5 linked regions of the Callithrix jacchus genome follow. Each later gene encodes a partner of the first gene's protein in a complex. Links are inferred from orthologs where the notes say so. Each region holds a gene or a part of one and is shown on either strand. Other genes may lie near its edges.

What was found. The genes of interacting proteins can lie anywhere in the genome.
Region 2: SMARCC1 (region 1) and SMARCE1 share a complex: the UniProt entries of both Homo sapiens proteins name them as parts of the BAF complex. The link is inferred for Callithrix jacchus from reciprocal best matches to the Homo sapiens genes SMARCC1 and SMARCE1.
Region 3: SMARCC1 (region 1) and ARID1B share a complex: the UniProt entries of both Homo sapiens proteins name them as parts of the neuron-specific chromatin remodeling complex. The link is inferred for Callithrix jacchus from reciprocal best matches to the Homo sapiens genes SMARCC1 and ARID1B.
Region 4: SMARCC1 (region 1) and ARID1A share a complex: the UniProt entries of both Homo sapiens proteins name them as parts of the neuron-specific chromatin remodeling complex. The link is inferred for Callithrix jacchus from reciprocal best matches to the Homo sapiens genes SMARCC1 and ARID1A.
Region 5: SMARCC1 (region 1) and DPF1 share a complex: the UniProt entries of both Homo sapiens proteins name them as parts of the neuron-specific chromatin remodeling complex. The link is inferred for Callithrix jacchus from reciprocal best matches to the Homo sapiens genes SMARCC1 and DPF1.

Annotation. Positions count from the first base shown.
Region 1 is NC_133516.1:30,366,093-30,369,592, forward strand, and holds part of SMARCC1 (SWI/SNF complex subunit SMARCC1), read right to left. Parts: intron 3,458-3,500; coding exon 3,344-3,457; intron 2,262-3,343; coding exon 2,108-2,261; intron 794-2,107; coding exon 680-793; intron 1-679. UniProt on the Homo sapiens protein: Involved in transcriptional activation and repression of select genes by chromatin remodeling (alteration of DNA-nucleosome topology).
Region 2 is NC_133506.1:92,613,396-92,617,695, forward strand, and holds the start of SMARCE1 (SWI/SNF-related matrix-associated actin-dependent regulator of chromatin subfamily E member 1), read left to right. Parts: upstream 1-1,500; 5' UTR 1,501-4,300. Other genes in the region: keratin-like protein KRT222, read left to right, coding at 770-998. UniProt on the Homo sapiens protein: Involved in transcriptional activation and repression of select genes by chromatin remodeling (alteration of DNA-nucleosome topology).
Region 3 is NC_133505.1:163,604,924-163,609,037, forward strand, and holds the start of ARID1B (AT-rich interactive domain-containing protein 1B), read left to right. Parts: upstream 1-1,314; 5' UTR 1,315-1,617; coding exon 1,618-3,384; intron 3,385-4,114. UniProt on the Homo sapiens protein: Involved in transcriptional activation and repression of select genes by chromatin remodeling (alteration of DNA-nucleosome topology).
Region 4 is NC_133508.1:63,351,479-63,355,757, forward strand, and holds the start of ARID1A (AT-rich interactive domain-containing protein 1A), read left to right. Parts: upstream 1-1,479; 5' UTR 1,480-1,853; coding exon 1,854-3,005; intron 3,006-3,845; exon of another isoform or gene 3,846-4,279. UniProt on the Homo sapiens protein: Involved in transcriptional activation and repression of select genes by chromatin remodeling (alteration of DNA-nucleosome topology).
Region 5 is NC_133523.1:33,815,102-33,819,256, forward strand, and holds the start of DPF1 (zinc finger protein neuro-d4), read right to left. Parts: upstream 2,801-4,155; 5' UTR 2,696-2,800; coding exon 2,664-2,695; intron 1-2,663. UniProt on the Homo sapiens protein: May have an important role in developing neurons by participating in regulation of cell survival, possibly as a neurospecific transcription factor. Belongs to the neuron-specific chromatin remodeling complex (nBAF complex).

The DNA of each region.
Region 1 (3,500 bases):
ATGTCCAGCCTGTACTGTATCACATCTTTGCACTCTCCTCTCTTTATCCTAGCCCCTCCCTACTTCAATTCAATTTCTTTCGCTCTTGGTACCTAGGTTTCCACATATATACTAATTTGTCTCTGAGTTCACTAACCTATCTTTTGCTATATGCAGCCTGTTATTAAACCCATCAAATAATTTCAAGTATACTTTTCAGTTCTAAAATATTCATGACTCTTTTTTTTTTTGAGACAGAGTCTCACTCTGTTACCAGGCTGGAGTGCAGTGGTGCAAACCTCTGACTCCCTGGTTCAAGCTATTCTCCTGCCTCAGCCTCCCAAGTAGCTGGGATTATAGGCATGTGCACCATGCCCAGTTCCTTTTTGTATTTTTATTAGAGACAGGGTTTCACCGTGTTGGCCAGGATGGTCTCTATCTCCTGAACTCATGATCCGACCACCTCGGCTTCTCAAAGTGCTGCAGTTACAGGCATGAACCACCACCCCCGACCTCATGATTCTTTTCACAGATTCCAATTATCTGTTCAAATTTTCCATTCCCCCCCTCGATTTTCTCTAATAGTGTTTTTTTAAATATCACCAGATTTGAGTAGAAAACTCATTAGATGTATCATAGAAGTACTAAGACGTGCTGGATTATACCCTGCATGAGTTTAGATTAAAAACAAAATCCTTACCTTTGCTAATGTTTTCTTGGAGTAAATGTCAGTACGAAGGCCAAAGTTCTGCAAATCAATTGGTTTTTCCTTGCTTTTCTCAGGAAAATTTAGCATCTGTTGAGCAGCAGGGACCTGAGTCAAATAAATGATAAATGGCTGAGTTAACCTCTTTAAAGTCAAGAGGATAAATGTTTTTCAAAAACTGGGCCATACGCAGTGGTTCATGCCTGTAATCCCAGCACTTTGGGAGGCTGAGACAGGTGGGTCACAAGGTCAGCAGACCGGCATGACCAACATGGTGAAACCCTGTCTCTACTAAAAATACAAAAAATTAGCTGGGCACCGTGGCGCGTGCCTGTAATCCCAGCTACTCAGGAGGCTGAGGCAGGAGAATTGCCTGAACCCAGGAGGCGGAGGTTGCAGTGAGCCGAGATCGCGCCATTGCACTCCAGCCTGGGTAATGAGCGAAACTCCGCCTCAAAAAAAAAAAAAAATTGCTGGGGCTGGACACGGTGGCTCATGCTTGTAATCTCAGCACTTTGGGAGCCTAAGGCAGGTAAATCACGAGGTCAGGAGTTCCAGACCAGCCAGACTAACATGGTAAACCCTGTTTCTACTAAAAATACAAAAATTAGCAGGGAATGCAATCCCAGCTACTCAGGAAGTAGAGGCAGGAGAACTACTTGAACCTGGGAGACAGTAGTTGCAGTTAGCCAAGACTGCGCCACTGCACTCCAGCTTGGGTGAGAGAACAACACCAGCTCAAAAAAAAAAAAACTGTTTAATATTGGCACTTAAACCACTCTTGGTGGATCTCCTACAAAAAAATAAATACCCACACTTCTACACTATACTTCTAACAAAAATTCAACACTTAAGACACATTTTCGCGTCCATTTAAGTCCCAAAAAGGATAAAAAATTTTCATTACTATCTTCTATTTCACCATAGGACAAAATTCTTATACCTTAGGTTCCTGTAAATACAACTTAATGCTAAATACAATTTCCTTGACATAATCTGTTTGATAATGTATATATGAATATAAACTTTATAAATCTTAGGACAAGTTATAAAGATTTCTTTGCCTCACATTTTTAGAACAAAGACTGAAGGAAGAAAAAAAACATTTTGCATCATCTGCTTACTTATGAGTATCTGATGACAGAAGGATAAAGGAAGTTATGTATATAAAAGTAAATTAATAATTTGATAGAGTAAGGCAGTGGGTCTTGGGATTGGTGGGACAGCATTAACTTAAATAGCATATATTATTTTGGACTGTAATATTTACAGTACACCAAAACACACACACACAACCAACCATAAAAGAAATAGCACTATTAATAGCCATTATAATACAATAACAATTATTCCTAAATAGATATGCTGTAAATAGTCAGGTGTTACTATCCAGTTCTGAAGAAAAAGTCGACATTAATTTACCTGAGGTGATCGAAGATGCAGAGGCACAAGCCCAGAGGGTGTATCAGCTAATACATTAAAATGAGGAGTAGGAGGCGGTCCCATTGCCATGGGTCTACTTTCCGGGTCAACTTGGTAATTAACAAGTCCCCACTGCTCTAAAAAGGCATGGACCCTAAAGAAAAAAGCTCGAAAAGTTAAAATCTACAGAATCAACTTCAGGTGCTTTATCATCATCATCATCATCATCATCATCATGATGTTATTAAAAAACAGAAACAATAAAAGAAGTAAATATTCTCAGCAGGCTATGAAACACCACAAACTACCTGACAGATTTTGAGGAAGAATTTCTTAAGTCACAAGTAACGTTGATAACACAGCACCCCCTAAACCTATTACAAAATCTAATCATTTCAACCACAGAAATGAGAGCACAAATACATATTTAGGTCCATTTTAATAAATGAAATCACACACAGACCAAATATACACACCAAAAAAATCCACATTTTGTTTTTTTGTCTTTAGGCAGATCTAGGGCACAGAGCTTATCCACTCTCGACCTGAACCCACTCCATCCCTGCTTATTTTATGATTTGACAAAAAATTAAAAATATGAATTATAAAATCTAAAAAACTGAATTAAATATTTATTTATTCTGAGAGAGTCTCGATCTGTCACCCAGGCTGGATGACACTGCAATCTCTGTCTCCTGGGTTCTCCTGCCTCTTGAGTAGCTGAGATATAGTCATGTGCCACCACACCCAGCTAATTTCTGTACTTTTAATAGAGACGGGGTTTCACTATGTTGGCCAGGCTTGAACTCCTGTCCTCAGGTGATCCACACGCCTCAGATTCTCAAAGTGCTGGGATTACAGGCATGAGCCACCGCACCCAGCCTAAATTAAGTATTTTAAATATTCAACTCCTAATCCTGAATCCAGGGCTCACACCTGCAATCACAGTGCTTCGGGAGGTCAAGGTAGGAGAATCACTTAAGGCCAGGAGATTGAAAACAGCCTTGGCAACACTGTGAAACCCCATCATGATAACATTAAATTAAAATAATAAAATAAAAATAATTTAATTGAATGAAATAAAAAGAAACAAAATATAATCAACCCCTAAATGAGATAACTAAAATTAGGTGTTTTACCCAGTTGAAATATCCAGTTTAATCAAGCAAACATTCGATAGCAATGCATCAGTAAATTCCTACAGTGAAATGTCTCAGAAAAAGTCAAATGCTTTACCTCATTACAGCACATACATCTCCAGTTAAGTTCCTCCGACAAGCAGTGCTGGTTAAGTACTCTTGGGGGTTTAGGCGATACGTGTCAATCATAAAATTTCGATATGCCAAGTATCTAAAAATCAATGGCAAAATTCATAAGGTGGATATGTATTCTT
Region 2 (4,300 bases), on another chromosome or scaffold:
ATGTGCCACCCTGCCCAGTAATTTTTTCTCTTTCTTTTTTTTTCTTGCATTTTTAGTAGAGATGGGCTTTCACCATGTTGGCCAGCCTGATCTCAATCTCCTCACCTTGTGATCCACCCACCTCAGCCTCCCAAAGTGCTGGAATTACAGGTGTGAGTCACCATGCCCAGCTTTTACTGTGATTTTTAATCTGACATATATACATAAAAACTCATGGAAGATTACTTAATCCTTAATTCGCCATTTTTTTCTAAAAATACAACCTGAACATGAGAATTCCTACAGAGAAATTCCATACAATTCCTTGGAAATTCTATTCATATGAACTTCAAAGTAAGTATATTATAAATTCTACAAACTGCCGTGCGCGGTGGCTCACGCCTGTAATCCCAGCACTTTGGGAGGCCGAGGCGGGTGGATCATGAGGTCAAGAGATCAAGACCATCCTGGTCAACATGGTGAAACCCCGTCTCTAATAAAAATACAAAAATTAGCCGGGCATAGTGGTGCGCGCCTGTAGTCCCAGCTACTCAGGAGGCTGAGGCAGGAGAATTGCCCGAACCCAGGAGGCGGAGGTTGAGGTGAGCCAAGACCACGCCATTGCACTCCAGCCTGGGTAACAAGAGCGAAACTCCGTCTCAAAAAAAAAAATTCTACAAACTATAAATTATACAAATTTCTTGATTTTTTCATAGATATGAAATACATATTATATATTTTTAATAGACCCATACTTCTTTATATTAAAAGGTTTATTTTATCATTTCAGGACAGAGAAAGTGGATGAAGTTATTAAAGAATGGGAAGGTTCTTTCTTTAAAGATAACCCTCGATTGAGGAAAAAATCTGTTTCTCTTCGATTTGATCTTCATTTAGCAGCCACCGATGAAGGGTGTTTACAGACTAAGCAGGATAATCTACCAGATATAGAAGTCAGGCTTATCATGAGACGATCATGCAGTATTCCCTCTATCAAACCTCCATCGACAGCTGATTAATCCAAAGATAGTATTTGACTTGATTTGAAAATGTTAGGATGGTCCAAGGTGGGCCACACCGACTCCCTTTGTCCCAAAATGTAAGTTATTAAGTATGTATGGAAAAGGTTATGATCAATATGTGGTTCTCTTCAGAAGAAAAAAAACAGTTAAGGACATTTCTCTGAATCTAATTATGGAGATATACATATATATATATATATAAATGAGGGGGTAGCTTAAAAATAAAATCACAAATTCAGTACAGTCTATTTCTTATTTTCCAAATAGTCTTCTTTTTCCCTTGAAACTTCATCAGAGACTGTAAGCATTAACCTGGTTTAGTAAAGTCTTTGTAATTTTTTTCAACGGCTGAACACTCTAAGGAAAAAAGAATTGTTTGAGTAAGATTGTATTATGTTAAGAGTCACACTGAGTTATTCATCATTATTCCATGACTAGTTAAACCTACAATGTTTGTTCTATTTTTCAAAAACAGCAATTATAAACAAGTTTTTTAAGGGGGACTCACTATTCACTTAACGAGAATTCTTCCTTTTTAGAAAATCATTTATATACTCAGAAAAATAAGAGTTATTTTCCATGAGAAATTCTGAGCAAACTATTGAACACACCCCAAGGCTAACTGGATAAGTAAAATTAAGTTAATCTATACATATCTAAATGTTTTTTAAATAAGTATCTGATTTCCAGAAGATTTACTTTACTCAAAGAACTTTAAAGGTTGTATCCCCCACCAAAAAAAGACAAAAATCAGAAGGCCAACTGTACAAACAAAATATGAAAAGCAAATTGAAAAGGTAGTTACTATCATTATCAGAACAGTTACCCGCCATCCCGGTTTTTCCACCTGTACAGCCAAATGTGATTAGAGTGTTTGCTATCAGCCTTAGATAAGATACTATATAAAGTATTATAAATATTTCTTGCAATCATTCATGTGAACTAAGATAACAGTAATTGTTATCTAAGCTAAGAGTGTTTGCAGGATTTGTTTTTAAATTGTTCAAATTGTAATAAATATGGGTAGAAAATATATTTGTGAATAAGTGAGGTATTGTTGCAAAGTTTTTAAAATAACCTAATTTAATACAGGTATATTTAAGATCTTAAATAATAAATACCTGTTTTAAGACATTAGAAATGTATAAGCTCTTAATTTTTTTCTAAGCAGAAAAAGTAGTTGAGTACAACTCACCATACTTTTTCCCAGCTAAAGTATCATCTAAGGGCTCCAGCTATGTTTGCATTTTAGTACAGCCTTTGCAGCCTTTAAAATCTCTCTCTCTCTCTGTACATATATACATATATGTACATATATATATGTATTTCAACCAGAAAAAATATATGATTTAACCAGGAAAATATTATATTATTTTAATATTTAACATAATACAGGGATAAAAATTTTTAATTTTCTTTCAATTACTTCAGATTCCTTTTAGTCTGGCTTATTCTATTTAATGAAAAGGGATGATTTTGTTTTGTCAAGGATATAACAGCATGTTAAGTGCTTATTCTTGCATAAGCATTTGACCTAAAATACATCCTATACATGAAAAAATGTTTCATTCAATATTGCTAAATGCTACTAGCTTTATTAAAGCTTTAAAAATGCAATCATATAAGCTATTGTACTAAAGTTACTGTACGAAGCAGCAGTGATCATAATAAAGCAATATATCTAGCATCATGTATTTCAGTGTTAAAAAAAACTTAGTACTGGGTGTCATGAATGTAACTGCTTGTAGTGATTTCAGTATGTATCTATGGGGTATATAACATGTACATTTAAAAATACAGTTCTTGAATTTATAACGAAGTTTTATTCACTCTGAGGCATTTAAATTGGGATATGAATTTACCAAGGTAATGATACTAACACAATTTAAAAAAGCAAAACACGACCAGGCACAGTGCCTCATGCCTGTAATCCCAGCACTTTGGGAGGCCAATGCAGGAGGATCGCTTGAGCCCAGGAGTTCAAGGCCAGCCTGGGCAATATAGCAAGACTCCATCTCTATAAAAGGTAAAAATAAATAAAAATGAAAAATTGAAAAAATTGAAACATGAATGCTAAAGCTGCATTGTATGTGAGTTTGAACACAGTCCTTTAAGTTCAAAGTATCTCTGCATGGTTAAGTGAAGCAAAGAACTAATTACTCCAATATGGTTAGTTCATTTGGGGAATTAAAAAACCTGCAATCACAGTAGATAGATAATGGTTTTTAACTTGTTTTACAAAAGAAAGTATTAAAATGGTATATTTATATTTTATTCTAATTTTTTTTAATCAAAATAATCACATAATCCTATAATTCTGGGAAAAGTATAATAATGGCAGCACCATTTGCAAAGTACTTACTCAGCTGCAGTCACTGTGTTGAATCCCTAATCCTTCCTTACAACAATCCTACAACATGAATAATATTATCCTTGGTTTATACAAGAGTAGAAATTAATATTCTTGAATCGCTTGGAAATGTTACAAATGCATGCTTGCATAACAAAATACAAAACTGAAGAGTTATTCCAATTACTAACAACTGTAGGATCCTAGCCCTGGCTCTGTCACTAATTAACCCTGTAACCAGGAGGGACTACTTTAAGTTCCTACGTCTCAAGTTTTACATTTGAAAACAAAGGAAAAGGTAATGCTGGGTAATAATTCCTACTCTGCCTATTTTACAATTCTTTGAAATAATATACAAGCAAAAATATTTGGTAAAGCACTGCTCAGATACACAGTACTATTTGGAAGAAAACTGTCTTCAGAGAATTTGTGGGGAAAATTATAGCTGACAATGATTAAGTAATAATTCAAAACACAACGGGTAAAGATACTATTTTGGTTTTTGGGGTTGTTTGTTTGCTTGTTTTGAGACTGAGTCTCACTCTGTCACCCAGGCTGGAGTGCAGTGGCATGATCTCGGCCCATTGTAGGTTCAAGCGATTCTCCTGCCTCAGTCTCCACAGTAGCTGGGATTATAGGCATATGCCACCATGCCCAGCTTATTTTTGTATTTTTGGTAGAAATGGAGTTTCACCATGTTGGCCTGGCTCATCTCCAACTCCTGACCTCAGGTGATCTGCCCACCTCAGCCTCCCAAGGTGCTAGGGTTACAGGCATGAGCCACTGTGCCCGGACAAGATACTATTTTTAATTTTTCAATTACTGCCAGAAAAGCAATTCTTTCCCAATAAGTCTCACCCAGTTTGAACTGTTCTGTCATGATAGCTTTTAAAGTACTAAAATATTCTGTATGCCAGGCACAGCGGCTGATGCCTATAATCCCAGCATT
Region 3 (4,114 bases), on another chromosome or scaffold:
CCACTGCAGTGGAAATGAATCAAAATAGTTTTTATGGAAAGCTGAAGAATGAAATAATTTTGGAAAACTATGCCCTAACAAAACCTTAAATATTGTTTCTGCCAGCTTTTAAATGCTTTCTCTCCGTGAAAACTGAGTCCGCACTGGTACAAGTGGGCCATTGCCTAAGATTAAGAAGTCTTGCTTTTCAAAATGTTACTAAATGATTAATAACAATGCAAATATTTAAAACACTAGTAACAATGCAAACGTTTAAAACATTGTAAAATGATAGACACCAGTTTTTAAGAGAACAAAGTATGGAACGTTTCTACTTTAGGATTAGACTGTTTTACATTATTATTGGTTACATTTATTCAATATAATGTTTATAATATTTTTGTTTTGTTTCACATTTCTTTGAATGTATATCAAGAGGGTTAACTGTGTACATGCAGCTCTGAAATAGGATGAAAGGTGTCATGCAGATTTATGAAGATACAAGCTAACCCATAGCTGTCGCTGTTCTGGCACCAAGAGTTAAATTTTCCTGTGGAAGTTGGAGCAGAAAACACCTCTGTACATACTCGAGAGAGGACATCTAAGTGCACATAATAAGAAAAATGCTCCTTTGGGAATACTTGGAGTTTTCCTTGACAAGCCTAATACGTGTTTAAGGTGTCTTCAGAAAGAGTTATGTAAACATTCTCTTTGGAACGAGTGATAAACATTTATTAAGTACCTGCTGTGTACAAAGCACAGGGCTCTCTGACCGGGGCTAACTTTCATTTCAAATCTTTACTAATTCTGCAGTTGGAAGAAGTTGTGGGAATTACGCCGATGGCCCGAAATCAAGGCAGAGGCAAACGTTCTGAGAATTACATAACTCCTGGGAGAGACCGTGCTTTTGCACAGATTGCCTAAATATTTTCTTTCTCCGTCGGCTCCTTGTAACCTCTGAGGCCAACAGACAACTTTGTTCTCCGGCCCTTCTCCCTCTTTTGTCTGCTCGTCAGACTCGTTTTCCACCTTTGTATCGTTCCTTTTAGACGTGAAAACAAACACGCGAACGCCCGGTTGGCAAGGAGACAGCGGCCCGGGGGGAAAGTGCAGGTTCCGGCCGCCCCACGCCGCCGCGCTCCGGACCGCCGCCGAGCCGCCCCGGCCCTGGCCCCAGCCTTAGTCCCAGCCCGGCTGGGCCCCGCGAGGCTGAGCCGGGGCGGGCGGGCGGCGGCGACTGCAGCCCGGGGACGAGTCCAGTCCGCGTTTTGCGAGTGCGCGGGAGTAATGCGAGCGAAGTGGATAATAGTTGCTGGAGCTCGCCCGCTTCTTCTCATGCCATGCTGGGCCCGATAGGCTCAGCCAGTCGTGTATTTACCCATATCCGGGTTAGAGAGGAAAAGAGAAAAGTTTCATTTAAACCTGAACTAAAAACTTTCACCATGAAAGCACACAGCAGGAGCAGGCCCAGAGCGTAAGGCGTGCCCGGCCCGGCGCTCCGGCGGGGCCTGAGGAGGGGGAGGGGGTCGCGGCTTCCCGGCGGGCCGCGTGGATGCGCACAGGAGGGGCCGCGGCCTGAAAAGTGGGGGTTATTGTCTCCCCCCACCCCCCGCCCGGCCTCGCCACGCCGCGGCGATCATGGCCGCGCGGGCAGCAGCGGCGGCGGCGGCGGCGGCGGCGCGGGCGCGGGCGCGGGCAGGCAGCGGCGAGCGGCGGGCGCCCCCCGGGCCGCGGCCGGCGCCCGGGGCCCGGGACCTGGAGGCGGGGGCGCGCGGCGCGGCGGCGGCGGCGGCACCGGGACCCATGCCGGGGGGCGGCGGCGACAGCGGCGGCGGCCTGAACAGTGTGCACCACCACCCCCTGCTCCCCCGTCACGAACTCAACATGGCCCATAATGCGGGCACCGCGGCCGCCGCCGCCGGCACCCACAGCGCCAAGAGCGGCGGCTCCGAGGCGGCTCTCAAGGAGGGTGGAAGCGCCGCCGCGCTGTCCTCCTCCTCCTCCGCGGCGGCGGCGGCGTCCTCTTCCTCCTCGTCGGGCCCGGGCTCGGCCATGGAGACGGGGCTGCTCCCCAACCACAAACTGAAAACCGTTGGCGAAGCCCCCGCCGCGCCGCCCCACCAGCAGCACCACCACCACCACCATGCCCACCACCATCACCACCATGCCCACCACCTCCACCACCACCACGCACTACAGCAGCAGCTAAACCAGTTCCAGCAGCAGCAGCAGCAGCAACAGCAGCAGCAGCAGCAGCAACATCCCATTTCCAACAACAACAGCCTGGGCGGCGCGGGCGGCGGCGCGCCTCAGCCCGGCCCCGACATGGAGCAGCCGCAACATGGAGGCGCCAAGGACAGTGCCGCGGGCGGCCAGGCCGACCCCCCGGGCCCGCCGCTGCTGAGCAAGCCGGGCGACGAGGACGACGCGCCGCCCAAGATGGGGGAGCCGGCGGGCGGCCGCTACGAGCACCCGGGCGTGGGCGCCCTGGGCGCGCAGCAGCCGCCGGTCGCCGTGCCCGGGGGCGGCGGCGGCCCGGCGGCCGTCCCGGAGTTTAATAATTACTATGGCAGCGCTGCCCCTGCGAGCGGCGGCCCCGGCGGCCGCGCTGGGCCTTGCTTTGATCAACATGGCGGACAACAAAGCCCCGGGATGGGGATGATGCACTCCGCCTCCGCCGCCGCCGGGGCCCCCGGCAGCATGGACCCCCTGCAGAACTCCCACGAAGGGTACCCCAACAGCCAGTGCAACCATTATCCGGGCTACAGCCGGCCCGGCGCGGGCGGCGGCGGCGGCGGCGGCGGAGGAGGAGGAGGCAGCGGAGGAGGAGGAGGAGGAGGAGGAGCAGGAGCAGGAGCAGGAGGAGCAGGAGCGGGAGCTGTGGCGGCGGCGGCCGCGGCGGCGGCAGCAGCAGCAGGAGGCGGCGGCGGCGGCGGCTATGGGGGCTCGTCCGCGGGGTACGGGGTACTGAGCTCCCCCCGGCAGCAGGGCGGCGGCATGATGATGGGCCCCGGGGGCGGCGGGGCCGCGAGCCTCAGCAAGGCGGCCGCCGGCTCGGCGGCGGGGGGCTTCCAGCGCTTCGCCGGGCAGAACCAGCACCCGTCGGGGGCCACCCCGACCCTCAACCAGCTGCTCACCTCGCCCAGCCCCATGATGCGGAGCTACGGCGGCAGCTACCCCGAGTACAGCAGCCCCAGCGCGCCGCCGCCGCCGCCGTCGCAGCCCCAGTCCCAGGCGGCGGCGGGGGCGGCGGCGGGCGGCCAGCAGGCGGCCGCGGGCATGGGCTTGGGCAAGGACATGGGCGCCCAGTACGCCGCTGCCAGCCCGGCCTGGGCGGCCGCGCAACAAAGGAGTCACCCGGCGATGAGTCCCGGCACCCCCGGACCGACCATGGGCAGATCCCAGGTAACCCCCGCGCCGGCCGGGCCTGCTTCCGCCCGGCGGCCTCGCCGCGCCGCGAGCCTGAGTTTCTTTCTTTGCCGCGTACTTTTCCCCGTCTTCCCGCGGGGGTGGCGGGGGCGGCGGGGGCGCGGCGCCCAAAGCCATCTTGACGGGCGGCCGCCTCCCACCGCGGTCGGGGCGCCCCCGGGACCGACGAGCTGTCCAGGCCTGGGAGGGCTTCGCCGGGCCGGGCCGGGTGGCTTCGACCCCGCCGGCCCGCACCGGCGCCCCCACCCCTCCCCCAGGCCCGGGAACGCGAGGCGAGATTCCGAGGCGCCACCCGCACGGACGCCGTTTGGGGCGGCAGGGACCGTTCGGGTGCTTTTGTAACAAACAGGCTCACCCGGCCCGGACGGCCGGGGCGAAGAGCCACCTGATCGGCTCTGGGAGCGCCCACAGTGTGCTTTAACGGGGGAAAGAACGAGGAACTTTCTCTCACCTTGGGCCACAGCTCGTTCCCTCCTGGCTTCCGAGGTCCAGGCAGGGAAAATAGGTTAGCTTTGTGACAAGCTAGCGGGTTTTTCCTACTTAGGGAGAGCTTTTCAGACACACTCGGTGCGGGCTTCGAGCTCGAATGTTTGCTGGCAGGAATAATTCCAAAATTTACAACGACGGGGAGGTGCAATATTCTAAAATACATCGGTTCGTTCCTTAGAGTAGCCAGGGAAATCCATTATTGGGCTTACGGGCTGCT
Region 4 (4,279 bases), on another chromosome or scaffold:
ATAAACCTGGCCTTATACCCAACTCAATCGGGGTCTCTTAGAATGTAATGGTAAACTTTAAACTATCTTTACACTACAGGATAGAAAACAAATCTGAGAAGCATGCATTTTCTAAGTGACTTGTTGGACTGTGCCTGTTCTTTAAGGAGAAAATGGTTTCCATTTTGTGCATCTCTCTTCTGATAATTGTTTGAACACTCAGGTTCCTGCAGTCCCTGGAGCCTCTTCTGTGGCTTTTCAGTCTTACAAGGTACTGTCTTTGGAGACTAGGGCTACTGGTCATTGTGGGCTAAGTTATCTTAAGAGAGTGAGAACAGGGTTTGGGTTCTCCTGCTGGATGACTGTTCTGTGCCCCTAAAACAGCTTCAGTGGCCTCCATTTTAAGTCAGAGGTGAGATGATCAGTTTTGACTTCAAATCCATTTTGATATTCTGGTATCATTGTTGAATGTGCTCACAATTTTTTTTAAGGCAAGTAGACCGAAGGCAGCTTTGGTAACTCCACTTCTTTTAAAGTCACCCTCCTCTACCCTCTGACTTTAAGTGACAGGGAGTTCCCTCCCCTCTCTTTCAATTCTGTGAAATGGGGATAATCCGAACCTCAAGCCCCCAGAGCCTTGTGAGGACCGGCGAATGAGGGCAGGCGAGTGGGAAACGAATCATCCAAACAATGATCAGTCATTCCTTTGGGCTTGCAAAAGGGGTAAGAATCAGGGCTCACTCAGCTGGGTCTTTAGCGGGGTCAGTAGAAGGCTTTGAAAAGTGCTGTAGAGGTGCTAAGCAGCAGCCAACGGAACGGGCCGGTTGCCAGGGGGTCAGGGCTGGGCCGAGGCGGTCGCGGTCTCGGGCTCTGGCCAATTTTGCAGCCGCGGGTAAAGTTCACGCTGCCCGCTCCCTTCGGTACGGCCGGCAGGGGACAGATCAGGATAGGGACGCCGGGAGGGAGGCGACGCAGGCTCCAGAGGCGCGGGCTCCGGGCCGGGTTTTCTCCGAAGCCTTCGGCGGCGGCGCTGCCTAGCGAAAGCGGCTGAGGGCCTGCCGCCGCCGCTGCTCGTTCTCTCCCCTCCTCCTTTGTGAGGGGAAGGGAGCGAGTCCGTTCCACGGCCTGCGCCGGCTCCGCTCTCCACTCCGGGTTTGCCAGGCGGCCGCGACGGCGCTGGGTAAAATGGCAGTGCTGAGCCTCGTGTCGGAGTGAGGGGGACTCGGAGGAGAGTGGGGCGCTCTAGCCGCTGAGTCCGGCCGACCGCTTGCTCGCTAGCCCGCTGCCGCGCAGCAGCCTCGGCTCGAGCTGCGGCTGGCGAGGGGAGGCTGGGCGCCCGGCCCGGCGCGCGTTCCGACTCTGGCACTCGGCACCCCGGCTGCTGCCGCGCGCCCTCCAGCCCGCCCGTCCCGGGTCCCCCTCCCCCCGCTCCCTCCCTCCGTCCCTCCCCGCCCCCTCCCCCCTCGCCTCCCTCCCTCCCTCCCTCCTCCTTTCTCCGGCAGCAGAAAGCGGAGAGTCACAGCGGGGCCAGGCCCTGGGGAGCGGAGCCTCCACCGCCCCCCTCATTCCCAGGCAAGGGCTTGGGGGGAATGAGCCAGGAGAGCCGGGTCCCGAGCCTACAGAGCCGGGAGCAGCTGAGCCGCCGGCGCCTCGGCCGCCGCCGCCTCCTCCTCCTCCGCCGCCGCCAGCCCGGAGCCTGAGCCGGCGGGGCGGGGGGGAGAGGAGCGAGCGCAGCGCAGCAGCGGAGCCCCGCGAGGCCCGCCCGGGCGGGTGGGGAGGGCAGCCCGGGGGACTCGGCCCCGGGGCGGGGTGGGAGGGGGGGGGAGAAGACGAAGACAGGGCCGGGTCTCTCCGCGGACGAGACAGCGGGGATCATGGCCGCGCAGGTCGCCCCCGCCGCCGCCAGCAGCCTGGGCAACCCGCCGCCGCCGCCGCCGCCGCCGCCCTCGGAGCTGAAGAAAGCCGACCAGCAGCAGCGGGAGGAGGCGGGGGGCGAGGCGGCGGCGGCGGCAGCGGCCGAGCGCGGGGAAATGAAGGCAGCCGCCGGGCAGGAAAGCGAGGGTCCCGCCGTGGGGCCTCCGCAGCCGCTGGGAAAGGAGCTGCAGGACGGGGCCGAGAGCAATGGGGGTGGCGGCAGCGGCGGAGCCGGCAGCGGCGGCGGGCCCGGCGCGGAGCCGGACCTGAAGAACTCAAACGGGAACGCGGGCCCTAGGCCCGCCCTGAACAATAACCTCACGGAGCCGCCCGGCGGCGGCGGTGGCGGCAGCAGCGATGGGGTGGGGGCGCCTCCTCACTCAGCCGCGGCCGCCTTGCCGCCCCCAGCCTACGGCTTCGGGCAACCCTACGGCCGGAGCCCGTCTGCCGTCGCCGCCGCCGCGGCCGCCGTCTTCCACCAACAACATGGCGGACAACAAAGCCCTGGCCTGGCAGCGCTGCAGAGCGGCGGCGGCGGGGGCCTGGAGCCCTACGCGGGGCCCCAGCAGAACTCGCACGACCACGGCTTCCCCAACCACCAGTACAACTCCTACTACCCCAACCGCAGCGCCTACCCCCCGCCCGCCCCGGCCTACGCGCTGAGCTCCCCGAGAGGTGGCACTCCGGGCTCCGGCGCGGCGGCGGCGGCTGCCGGCTCCAAGCCGCCTCCCTCCTCCAGCGCCTCCGCCTCCTCGTCGTCTTCGTCCTTCGCTCAGCAGCGCTTCGGGGCCATGGGGGGAGGCGGCCCCTCCGCGGCCGGCGGGGGAACCCCTCAGCCCACCGCCACCCCCACCCTCAACCAACTGCTCACGTCGCCCAGCTCTGCCCGGGGCTACCAGGGCTACCCCGGGGCCGACTACGGCGGCGGGCCCCAGGACGGGGGCGCTGGCAAGGGCCCGGCGGACATGGCCTCGCAGTGTTGGGGGGCTGCGGCGGCGGCAGCGGCGGCGGCGGCAGCCGCTTCGGGAGGGGCCCAACAAAGGAGCCACCACGCGCCCATGAGCCCCGGGAGCAGTGGCGGCGGGGGGCAGCCGCTCGCCCGGACCCCTCAGGTACACAGCTGAGTGGGGAGGGGGCTGGGGCGAACGTGGTCCTGGGGGTGGGTGGTGGCTGCGGTGAGCGGGCCACAGCCTTGGGCTCCCCTCAGTCCCGGGCCCCCACTGCTGGGGAGCTGCCATTGTCTGGCTCTTCTTTCTTAAAATGGCTGCCTGTCTGCCTTCCTCTCCTTCCCTCCTTTAGGCTTTGTGTCGGGCTTTCCTAGAAATGTCTGCTCCTCTTTTTCCTTTCCCCTGGTTCCTTTGAACTCCAGGGGTCGTCATGGGGATGCGGGGCAGAGTGTGCGGGGAAGGGCCTGGCCGGGGGTGAGGGGGTGCTGGGGGCTCAGGTAAGAAGTGTAGGCAGTGGTAGGAGCCCAGGAGTTGAGTGAACGTTTTTCTTTGCTCACCTGCCGCTCCTCTCCGTCTCCCGGCCTTCCTCTGGGCCGCCCCCCGCCTCCGTGCTTTCAAGGAGGGCCCCTAGACCTCGGGGGGACCTCGAGGGAGGGCAGGGGACTGCTTGGGAGCTGCTAGAGGCCGGCTGCGGTTCACCTAGGGCAGCCCGGGCCATCTCCTGTCTTAGGCTCCGCCGGCCCAGTGGCCTGGGCTTCTCCCTGGAAGTGCTGGTAAACAGCTGAGTGATTGGAGTAGTAAGTGCAGATTGCTTTGGTTTGGGATTTGAATTATGGAGGTAAAATCCTTCTGTCAAAGCCAGGAGACAGTTGGTCTTAGGTTGACATCCTATCTGTGATCTGATTGGCTCCCCATCTCCTGCTCTTGGCCATTTATAATTGCCTCTGATGTAATGGTACAACAATCCTGATGAGCTCATAAACTTTTACACTCTGCTTTTCTGCCAGTGATAACCCAAACCATTGCTGTCACTATCTGCCTTTTATTCCAGAGTTGAAATTGGCTGTGACCTTGAGGAGGGAGGTTTAAGTAGCAATACTGTATCAGCAGGAGCAGAGTCTCAGACAGCCTGTCCTTGTTACATTGTGCCCGAAACAAAAGAGGAGGCAATGGCATTTTGCATATACCTTGGATTTATTTTGCTTGTTATGTTTTATGCAGCCTGAAATGGATTCTGTGTTGTCAGAACAGTAGCTGAGTTTTTTCTCTACAATGGGTTTGCTGTTTGTTTTGGTTTTGTGACTTTCCTGATGGTATAAATGACTTCTTTGATGGCTCTGAAGATGCATTTGTCTTGAGTAATTTTGACACTGTTTGCTTTGCAGAATTGAAATGATTTTACTGGGTTTTTTATTGAGTGGGAAATGTGGAATCTTTAT
Region 5 (4,155 bases), on another chromosome or scaffold:
TGATGGCCCAGGCTAGAGGGCTGTGGCACTAACAGCTCACTGAGGCATCCACCTCCTGGGCTCAAGTGGTCCTCCCGTCTCAAACCCCCAAGTAGCTGGGACTACAGGCAGGTGCCACCACACCCGGCTAATTTTTGTATTTTTGTAAAAACAGGCGTGAGCCACCGTCCCTGGCCCACCAGCAGCGTTTCTACCCATAGACCCAGGCTGACACTTGGAGCGGGCTCTCCTTTCTTTCCTTTCTGCCTAATCACCTGCACACACCCCTCCCACACTCCTGCACACTTCCTCCGAGTCCTCTCCCTGGCCCAAACAATCCTCCTGCTCCCATCCCCCAGTGCCCTGTGTGGAGCTGACCCACAGTAGAAATCAATTTCATAAATCAATATTGATACTACTCCTACTAATCACTACATTTGGTCAGGGTCAGAGCTCTGTGCTAAGCGCTTTACAAAGACGGCCTTATTTAAGCCCCGAGACAGCCGTATGGGGTGGTAAGGGCTGTTAGAAGACCCCATACTCCAGGTGCGTGGCTCACGCCTGTAATCCCAAAACTTTAGTAAGCTGAGGCGACAGATCATGAGGTCAAGAGATCAAGACCGTCCTGACCAACATGGTGAAACCCCGTCTCTACTAAATATACAAAAATTAGCTGGCGCCTGTAGTCCCAGCTACTGGGAAGGCTGAGGTAGGAGAATCGCTTGAATCCAGGAGGTGGAGGATGCGGTGAGCCAAGATCACACCACTGCACTCCAGTCTGGGCAACAAGAGTGAAACTCAGTCTCAAAAAAACAAACAAAAAAAAAGCCCCATACACAGATGGCAAAACTGAGGCTCGCGGCAGGGGACGTTCATGGCTCAAGCTGGTTTTAGAACTCAGGCAGTGGAACTTCCCAGGGCGGCACCCTCCAGCTCCTTCTCCCCAAGGGATGTGATTCACATTCTTTCAGGAGTCAGGGAGTTCCCCACCTTCACCCCAGCAGATACGTTTTGGAAGGGGAGGGCACAGGGGGCAGGGCCCTCTCAGTCCAGGCTTTCTCCCCAGGTCCCTGCTCTCCAATGCAGCACACCTCCTGGGGGGGGGGGGGGAGTGTCTGGGCCAGGGTCAGAGTGCGGGGTAGATCCACCAACCTGCACAGGAGCTCTCGCTCCCGGCACCCTGCTCACAACCATTGTGCAGTGTCCCTCACATGAGAGACAACTGTGTGTGCCACTCAGGGTGAGAGGGCAGCGGAGGGGTGTCAGCATCATGCACCACCTCTCACGGACCCGAGTCCCACACACTCGCTCCCGGCACCCTGCTAACGGCGGAGCCACACGTGTAGGCGCGTGCCTCTAAGTCCCTGCCCCCCTTCCTCTCCCAACTCCCACCCTCCACCTCCCACCCCCATTCCCGCCAGAAACCAGAAGCAACTGGCGGCCTCTGGTCCAGCCGGCAGGCGCAGCCCTTCTTGTGGGTGGGGTGGGGGGTGCGCTCCCTCTCTCCCTGTCCCCACTCGCCCCGCCCCCAGCCCTCGATGTTCAAGGTCAAGGCAGCCAGCGAGCGGGGTTGGGGGAAGGGTGGGGAGGTCGCCCCGGCCCCTTTGTGCGGCGCCGCCGCGGGCGCTCGCCCTCCGCCTCCTCCACCAGGCCCAGGAGGAGGGGGAGGGGAGCGCTGCGCTCGCCTGCGGGGAGGGAGGGCGGGAGCAGCCAAGCGCCTGTCACTGGGAGACCGCTGTCACCGCCTAGGAACTAGGGGTGGGGGTGGGGAGCTCTGGGACCCAGGAGTCCGGGATCCCGAAGAGGAAGCAAGCCCGAGATGGAGAGGGGGAAGGGGAGGGGTGGAGAGCGCGAGGGATGGCAGGGAGAGGGGAGGGTCAGGAGGGTCTAGGCTCGGACCCAGGCGTCCCGGTCCCCAGCCACCGGGCCCGGGAGGAATGCGAACGCTCGGAGGGCCGCGGCCAGGAAGAAAGGGAGGGAATCCCCGGAGACCGAGGGCGCTCCCGGCAGGCACCCCCTTCCCGGGCCGGTCCCGGAGGGGACCAGAGATGCTCCGGTTTGATGTGTATGGGCGGGGAGAGGAAGGGATGCCGCGGTCCATGCTGGCCGTGGGTTCGGGGTTCTAGTTCCCGGAGATCCCAGAAGGAAAAAAGGGAGGCAGCGGGGATGGAACCGTGGACCCCCGACGTCTCAGCTCCCACCCTGCGGCCGCGAGGTCCGGGGTCCCCAGAGAAAGAAGGGGAAAGAGAGAAAGGCGCTTTGATGAGGGGAGAGCGGGTGATGGAAACCCTGGGGACCGAGGTCCGGACTCAGGTGTTCGAGCTTCCAGCCCCGGCCGGGGCAGGCCCGGCACCTCCGGAGATCCTGAGGGAGAGATGGAGGAGAGGGAAACCCCTACCCCCACTCTGGGTGGGGAAACGGCCTCCGCCACCCCCAGCCCGCGCCACATTCCTTCACTGACAGCGACAAAGAAGAGGCGCCCCCGCGACCCTGAAGAGGCTCCCGCCTCCAACCCCAGGGGGCGACAGGGGGTGGCCGACCCCCGGGGCAACGGTTTGCGCTGGGGGCCCCCACTCAACTACGGGTCCGCGCGCTGCGTCCCCCTCCTCAGCCACAGGGCGGGCGGGGGAAGGGCTCCTGGTGGGGGGGTCTGGACAGGGGGCGGGGACGGCGGGGACACTCACGACTTGAGCGGGTTCTGAATGGCGGTAGCCATGGCCCGCTCGGCTGGGCCGCCTCCGGCCCGGGGCGCCGCTGCCGCCGCGCGCGGGCCCAGCCCGGCCTGCGCCGCCCGCTCTGCCGCCCAGCGCGCTACGATTTCATTCATTCTTGGGGCTGCGGCGCGAGCGGAGCGGGGCGGGCCGGGGGCGGGGCTCAGCCAATCCCCGCGCCTCCCAGCGCACGACGGGACGTGGAGTCTAGGGGCGCTCGGCGGCGCCCGAGGGCGCCCCTGCCCAGACTACACGTCCCAGGGGGCGTCAGGAGGACCGCGCTCCCATTGGCTGCTGGGGATACAGGGAGGGGCGGGGCTGCCCCCAGAGCATCTTTCCTCTCTCCCTGGGAGTGCTCCGTCCCCAGCTCGGGATCTCCACCCTCGAGGCACCGCGAGCGCGGGAGCAGGTGGTCCCTAGCTTCTGGATGTCCCCAGGGTATGTGGATGACCCTAGGGTTTTTATCGTGTATTTTTGTCTGGGCCTATTTGGGTTTCTCTTCTATATCAGCGAGCCTGTGAACAAGCACAGGGGTTAATCACGCCTTTGTTCGTTTACTGAGTGGCTGCTATGTTCCAGAAACTCTTCTAGGCACTAAGGATACAGCAATGACCAAAACAAAGTTGCTGCTCTCAAGGAGCTGACGTTCTAGTGGAGAAATACAGATAATAAGAAAATAAAGAGATAAAATCATTTCAGACAGTGAGAGATGCTATGAAAAGAAAATTGGGCCGGGCATGGTGGCCCATGCCTGTAATCCCATCACTTTGGGAGGCCGAGGCAGGTGGATCATCTGAACTCTGGAGCTCAAGACCAGTCTGGGCAACATGGCGAAACCTCATCTCTACCAAAAATACCAAAAATTAGGCGGGTGTGGTGGTGCATGCCTGTAGTCCCAGATACTCAGGAGGCTGAGGTGGGAGGGTCACTTGAGCCTGGGAGGCAGAGGTTGCAGTGAGCCAAGATTGTGCCACCGCACTTCAGTCTGGATGACAGAGTGAGACCTTGTCTCAAAAAAGAAGGGAGAGGGAGAGAGAGAGGAAAAAAAAACAAGAGAAGAGAAGAGGCAGGGCACAGTGGCTCACACCTGTAATCTCAGCACTTTGGGAGGCTAAGGCAGGAGGATTGCTTGAGCCCCAGAGCACGAGACCAGCCTGGGCAACATAATGAGACCCCATCTCTACAAAAAGTTTAAAAATTATCTAGGTGTGGTGATGCATGTCTGCAGTCTCAGCTACTCAGGAGACTGAGGCAAAAAGGTCATTTGAGCCTGAAAGTTGGAGGCAGTAGTGAGCTGTGATCACACCACTGTACTCCACCTAGACAACAGAGAGAGACTGTTTCTAAAAATAAAAAAGAAAGAAAGAAAAGAAAAAGAAAGAAGAAAAGAAAATAGATTCAGCAAAACACAGATTTTAGAAAGAAAAAAGAAGCAAGTAAAAAAAAGCAGATTGATTTGAAGGAG